Linked DNA regions of Callithrix jacchus. The protein of the gene in region 1 binds, or shares a complex with, the protein of each later gene. Links are inferred from orthologs where the notes say so. Each region holds a gene or a part of one and is shown in the gene's direction. Other genes may lie near its edges.

Region 1 (3,512 bases):
CCATTTTACCTGTGCTTGCATTCCTGGACTCTGTTGTTACCTCCTGGATCTGGGATTTTTCCACCGTCTTTTGTTATTTTTTTATGTTAAAAATCTGTTTACGGGCTTATTTATTTTTAAATGAACCTATAATATACAAATATGTTCTTGTTATAAAATGTTCAAACAATATAGAAGTATATAAAGTCAAAAGCAAACTTTGCCCTCACCCCCACCAATCCTATTTCCCTTCCCAGAGGGAATTACCGTTATTAGTGTAATGGATATTTTTCCTGGGCTTTCTTTCCAACCTTACATACATTTATATGTATGTAGTTTTATTTTGTCAGTTTTTTTTTAACATAAATGAAACTATACATTTTTAATTGCCCTAGAACTTTTTTTTCACTTCCCCTCTATTTTAGAGAGCCTTCTAAGCTGATGCCTGCATGGAGAGCTAGCTCTGCTTCTTTACCTCCTGCATACATTTTCACTGTGTGAATGTCCAAAAGTATATTTCACCATTCCTATGTTGTTGGACAATCAGGCCACTACCTTGTGTACTTTTTTCTTGTAGAAATATTCAATACAATTATATGACCTGGAGCTTAACTCCTTTCCATGTCCCTTTTGCATTGCCCGCATTAATTCCACTCCATCCATAGCCTCCAAATTGAGCTGCATGTCCAGGCCCACCTCATCACTCCATGCTCACTGGCCATTTCCTCTTGGCTGCATTGGAACTGCTGTCTTTTGCCTGAGACAGAAGTGACCTGCTATCAAATAAACAGGCACTTGAAACCCACTCCCTTGTTACATTTTGAAAGCCAGAGGTTGCCACAGGACAGTTACTTAAATCAAGACAATTTCCAGGCAGGAAGAAGATGTAGAACCCTGACATTATTCCTCTCCCGCGTTTGTTAGTAATAGCTTGATTGAGTATTGAGAGCAAGCTTAAAATGCTGCCATCAGCACCAACTACCCTTTAGATTAGCACACAGCTCCTATTCCCTTGAATGTAGTTAGGCCAGCTTAATGTCAAGGCATAAAAAAGATACTTGTTAAATAATTTCCCAAAGCTCTGACTCAATCTTTAATTTGTTTTTATTTTTTTCCTCTTTCCCTCTCCTCTCACTTTTGTTCCTTTCTCTCTCTCTGTTTTTTTTTTTTTCTTTCCTCTATGCCAAAGGGTACGCCATTAAGTCGGGCTGATTTAAGGGCTGTCAACATCAACCTCTGTGACATGTGCGTTATCCTGTCAGCCAATCAGAATAATATTGATGATACTTCGCTGCAGGACAAGGAATGCATCTTGGCGTCGCTCAACATCAAATCTATGCAGTTTGATGACAGCATCGGGGTCTTGCAGGCTAATTCCCAAGGTAAGGACAGCCTGTAATACTTCTTTGCTGTGCCTACGGGGGACAGCGGCTGGCAAGAGGGATATCCTTCACTCAGTAATTCAAAGAGGCTCACATCAGCCTGCCTGGCAGTGAAACCTGCGGTCGCCGGGATGGCTTTCAAAGGGGCATCTGCTGCCCCTTCTTTCCATTCTGGGGTCCAGGCTTGAGACCTGGTCACCCACACACTGACTAAGTTGCCTTTCCAGAGGATAAACAACGCTTTAAATGGCCACCCCCTCAGCTTTCCCAAAGAGTGTCTTCATGGGCAGTGTCAGCTAAATGTCAGAGCACTGAAAAGATGCTGGCTGCACAATTCCGACCATTTCCTTCCAGAATATATTTTTGCCATTGAGCTGAGATGGAAGTGTTAAGCTTTGCTATTGTTAGAACTGCCTCTAGGACTCTGCTGACCAAAGGATGGTGCTCTCCAGAGAGTGGCAACTCTATGGACACTAAAAGTCATTTAGCAAGAGGTGACACTTGTCAGACCACACATTTTCCTATAGGAGGCAAAGCAACCTTAAGTGACACATGTGTGCCTTCCTACTCTGGCCCCAGTCTTTCCTGTCATTTGTTTTGGGATCCTGGACAGGGGGTTACAAGTAAAGATGTCTAGGAGTCTTAGAAAGGAAATGCAGCAAAACCTTCATAACAGACGACCTCCGTAATCAGCATCTGGCAGGATAGGATGCAGAGCATTTTCCTTTGAGTGACACCTCCGTGTAGTCTTGCCATGAACTGGAGGATCATTGTTACATAAGGGCTACAAGCGGGTGGCATGGGCTGCCTGATGAGGACCTGAATCCCATCAGTCCAGGACGAAAGGCTGTAGGAGCACAGTCCTTGAGCACTATGGCTACTGGCATATGAAGCACCACCTTATTGATAGCTGGGCAAGTGTCTGACCTCCTCCACGTCATGCCAGGCTTTCTAGAAGCTCAGCTGGATCATGCATCCTAGATCTGTGAGCTATATTATCTTTTGTCAACTTGACATCACCACCACCACCTTCTAACATTTGCTTAGCATTGCAGAAAATCCAGGAACAATCATTCCTAGAATCCTCTTTCCTGCATGGCTCTGGGCAGAGTCAGCTGGTGGAAGAGGGGCATTGGGATGAGATTTGAAAAGTGGAGGAGAAAGGGAGGCTTTGATTCTTTGGAGACAGTTGGAGCCAGACCTTAGCAGACCCAGGTTCAAATCATCTCTCAGAGGAGCTTTCTGGGAGCAAGTATCTTCACTGCTGGTAACTGAGAGAGGGGTTGTGGCTTCTCTGAGAGTCTTGAAGTTCACAGCACTTTCTGGTCAAGCTTAAGGGACCTTCTGCTTTTGTATTGGATATGAAGTAGCTTCTGTTCTTCTGACATCACCCCAATACAGCCTGCAGCCTAATTTTGACCTCTCCATGCCACCATCCTCCCTACCACACCCAAATCTCAATCTTGGTATCCACCTGCTCAGCTGTGCCCGCAGGACAGAACGACATGTCAAGGCCTAAGAGAGGCCCTGCGCTCTTACTCCCAGGTGCATCCTGCAGAGGCAGAGACCCCCTCCTGCCCAGACAGCCCAGGTGAGAAAGGAAGTGAGAAGACAGCAGGCTGACCTTCTAGGGAGTAAAAGAGGCAAGCTGCCATTTGGTTCCTGCCTTTAAGCCCTTGACCTTCAATATGTGTCCTCTCTGCCCAGCGCCAGTACAGGTATCTATTGGGGAAGCCTGTTAAAACTGTAGAATCTCATGGCTCACCCCAGATCTGCTGGGTCAGAATCTGCATTCTAACAAGATCCCCAGGCAACTCAAATGCACCCCTTTAAAGCACAGTAAACCTTCACATGAACAGGACATGACTAACCCTTGTTAGATGCTTCTTTCTTGGGGAGCAGTGAACCATCAAGGGGAATGTAAAAAAGTAGAAGCAGTGATTCTCCCTTTAAGTAGAGACAGAAGCCAGCAGGAGGAGGCAGGAAAACACTCCTTTTCCCCAACATGCCTGTTTCCTCCTAACTCAATCATCACGATTTTCCAGGGCCATAGATTAGAATCTCAGTGTATAATTTAGTTACACATGCATCTGATGTAGGTGTTCCTTCCAGCTCTCTTAAACTTTATCCCAGCCTCTTAGATCCTATATA
Region 2 (3,165 bases), on another chromosome or scaffold:
GCGGAGGCCTTCAAGGGGGGGTGCTGTTCCAGGGAGGCCCCGTGGGGGGGGGCTGTCCCAGGGGAGGTCCTTGAGGGGCCGCGCTGTCCCAGCGACAGGGGGGTCACTGTTCCAGGGGAGGCCCTCGAGGGGGGCGCTGTAGGGGAGGCCCTGTGGGTGGGGGTGGTGCTGTCCCAGGAGAGGCCTTGGGGGAGCACAGTTCCACATGCTGGCCTGCTCCGGGGGGTGGTTAGAGCCCCACCAGCCTGTGCTGACCCGGGCCCTGTCATGCAGGTTGGTGGAGAATTTTGGAGTCCAGGAAGACCGCATGGACCTGCATCCAGTATATGTGGAGTCCCAGCTCTTGGACGCTGACCTGGAGGTCTCCGTGATGCCCCCACTGGAGGATGAGAGTTTCGTGGCCATCCCCATGGAGGCTACCCCAGAGGAGCCACCCCCACCCCCACCCCTACCACCTGAGTAGGGCTGAGGAAGCCGGTGGGGAGAGGAAATAAACCGTATTTAGAGGTTGTGCACTGTCCTCCCTGCAGACTCTCACACCCCTCAAGGCTGCATTGTTGGGCGTGCACTCGCCTATGGGTCTCATCAAAGCGGGCACCCAGGCCCACACCGGGTTCCGCGTTCTCTGCCCCAGGGCAGTAAACCACACCCCTAATGTGTTTCTACCTTCTCTGCCACAGCTGGTCAGCCCAGCTCCTCCCTGAACCTCGTGCTTTTGAAAGCTCCTAGAACAGGACCTGCAGGTGGTACCTGCAGCAGGGATGAGCAGAAGGGAAAAGCATGTGAGACCCAGGCTGCAACTGGCAGCTCCGGAGGCAGCTGGGTTTAACAGGACTTGGGCTGATGCCCCTCCCCCACTCCACTGGCAGCACCCCAGACGGTCCAGAAAAGTCCTGAGGGGGAAGGGTGGAGCTGGCATCCTCTCCTGCCTGGGTGTGCTGTCTCCCTACACCACAAGGCCCATGTTCAGTTCAGGCCTCATCCACCACGGGAACGGACCGTCCCTGCGTGAAGCCACTCAGCACGTGCACACTGGGCTCACTTTGCTGATCCTGAGGGGGGCCAAGGCCAGTGAGGAGCAGGACCTCTGGGCTGCGTTGCGTATGGGCGCCGGTCGCAGCCGTGAGGTCGGCGGGGGCAGGTGGGCGGCGTCCTACTGCTCAGGGCTCGGCGGGCGCCTGGTGGTGAACCAGTCGGGGTGAGGTGGTCCCGATAGTGCTGTGGCCGGCGCTGTGCCCAGAGCAGTCTGGAGCTCCGGGACAGGTGGCCGGCGGTGCCGGGCGTTGGCCGTTTGCCCCGCCCCAAGCGTGGATCCAGCTGTGGGACAGGAACTGCCTGCACTCGCGCCAGAGAACATTTGTGCAGGCGCCGCAGGAACGCGCTTAGTGGACTATAGGCTCCGGGGACGCACAGGCAGCGGGCCGCCCACACAGGTACTGGGGGCTGCCCCTATGCGGAGTTCCTCCTGGTCGCGGCCTTGGCCGCAGACGCCAACGCTGCTGCCGCTGCTGCTGCTGCTGCCGCCGCTGTCGCCTTGGCCTGTCTGGGCACAGGTGTCGGCCACGGCCTCGCCCTCGGGGTCCCCAGGCGCCCGGGACTGCCCCGAGGAGTGCACGTGCGAGCCCGGCGGCCTGGCCACCTGCTCTGCACTCGCGCTTCCGGCCGTGCCCGCGGGCCTGAGCCTGCGCCTCCGCGAGCTGCTGCTGGACCACAACCACCTCCGCGCGCTGCCGCCCGGTGCCTTCGCGGGAGCGGGCGCACTGCAGCTTCTGGACCTGAGCGAGAACGGGCTCCACTCAGTGCACGTGCGAGCCTTCTGGGGCCTGGGCGCGCTACAGCTGCTGGACCTGAGCGCCAACCAGCTGGAAGCGCTGGCACCCGGGACCTTCGCGCCGCTGCGCGCGCTGCGCACCCTCTCTCTGGCTGGCAACCGGCTGGCTCGCCTGGAGCCCGCGGCGCTGGGCGCGCTCCCGCTGCTGCGCTCACTCAGCCTGCAGGACAACGCGCTGGCGGCACTCGCGCCGGGGCTGCTGGCCCGCCTGCCCGCCCTGGACGCGCTGCACCTGCACGGCAACCCCTGGGCCTGCAGCTGCGCGCTGCGCCCACTGTGCGCCTGGCTGCGCCGGCACCCGCTGTCCACGTCAGGTGAGCTGTCCCGGACGCGGGGCGGGGTCTGCGGGGCGGGGCGGCCGCCGCCGCCTGACGCCGCGTCTGTGTCCGTGTCCCGCAGAGGCCGAGGCGGCGCTCTGCGTGTGGCCGGGACGCCTGACACTCAGCCCGCTGACTGCCTTCCCCGACGCCGCCTTCCGCCACTGCGCGCAGCCGCTAGCCCTGCGGGACCTGGCCGTGGTCTACGCGCTCGGGCCGGCCTCCTTCCTCGTCAGCGTGGCCGCCTGCCTGGCGCTGGGATCCGTGCTCACCGCCTGCAGCGCGCGCCGCCGCCGCCGCACCGCCGCCCTCCGCCGGCCAAGGAGACCGCGGGACCCGGACTCCGATCCCGACCCCCACTGCTCGGTCTCGCCCGCGGGCCCGGGGATCCCCGCGGCAGCCGCCCAAGCCTGAGCAGCCGCGGCCGCCTGGGATTCTGGAAGCTTCTTCCCCAACGCCTTTGCCCTCCCTTTACTCTCTGTCGGCGTCAACAAGCGACACAGACCGAAACCTGCGTGACATTCCTTTAGGCATCACCACTGCACACACCGGGAAGTGGGGGGAGGAGGGGCAGAGCGCGCCGCGCATGGGCCACACGGGGAAGGCACGCGCTCGGGCCCTGGGAGCGCTGGTCCTGTACAAGGTGGTGGGCCGGGCACGCACCCGGAGCGAGGGCGGGGGCGGGCGGGTGGCGCTCTCCTGTGCCCGAGGTGCAGGGCAGGGTGGAAGACAGTCCCGAACCAGCGTCCGGGGAAGCCCGTTCTGGGCCGCAGGCCGGACGAGGAGACGAGGGGGTCGGCCCTCTCGAGTCCAGAGGAGGAGGAGGAGGAGGAGGAGGCGGTCTGAGGCAGCGGGAACCCGAGCGTCTCTGGGAGGCGCTGACGGCCGGGAAGTCAGGGACGGCCGTGGGGGGAGGGCAGGGCCAGCCCCGGCGTGGAGGGTCAAGGGGCAGACGGGGCGTGGGTGGGCGGTGCAGCAAAAAGAGGGGAGGGTGGAGCTCAGGCTGCAGAGGAGTGC

What was found. Proteins that work in one complex are often made in the same cells at the same time.
Region 2: the proteins of KCNMA1 (region 1) and LRRC26 are in contact, whole or in part, in a cryo-EM structure (PDB 7YNZ), measured with the Homo sapiens proteins. The link is inferred for Callithrix jacchus from reciprocal best matches to the Homo sapiens genes KCNMA1 and LRRC26. Residues at the interface, in NP_001154824.1 of Homo sapiens: Pro78, Cys79, Asp80, Ser81, Arg82, Gln84, Trp88, Ala92, Ser93, Val96, Thr97, Glu155, Trp158, Met159, Ser161, Val162, Trp165, Cys206, Leu226, Leu227, Phe229, Gly230, Leu231, Phe233, Ile234, Asp251, Phe252, Pro256, Phe259, Val260; in NP_001013675.1 of Homo sapiens: Gly204, Cys205, Gly206, Cys207, Ala208, Arg236, Leu237, Ala249, Phe250, His252, Cys253, Ala254, Gln255, Leu257, Arg260, Asp261, Leu262, Val264, Val265, Tyr266, Leu268, Gly269, Pro270, Ser272, Phe273, Ser276, Leu277, Cys280, Leu281, Leu283.

What each region holds. Positions count from the first base shown.
Region 1 is NC_133513.1:53,241,660-53,245,171, forward strand, and holds part of KCNMA1 (calcium-activated potassium channel subunit alpha-1), read left to right. Parts: intron 1-1,168; coding exon 1,169-1,361; intron 1,362-3,512. UniProt on the Homo sapiens protein: Potassium channel activated by both membrane depolarization or increase in cytosolic Ca(2+) that mediates export of K(+). It is also activated by the concentration of cytosolic Mg(2+).
Region 2 is NC_133502.1:185,580,275-185,583,439, reverse strand, and holds LRRC26 (leucine-rich repeat-containing protein 26), read left to right. Parts: upstream 1-1,384; 5' UTR 1,385-1,451; coding exon 1,452-2,145; intron 2,146-2,230; coding exon 2,231-2,562; 3' UTR 2,563-2,658; downstream 2,659-3,165. Other genes in the region: TMEM210 (transmembrane protein 210), read left to right, coding at 274-463. UniProt on the Homo sapiens protein: Auxiliary protein of the large-conductance, voltage and calcium-activated potassium channel (BK alpha). Required for the conversion of BK alpha channels from a high-voltage to a low-voltage activated channel type in non-excitable cells.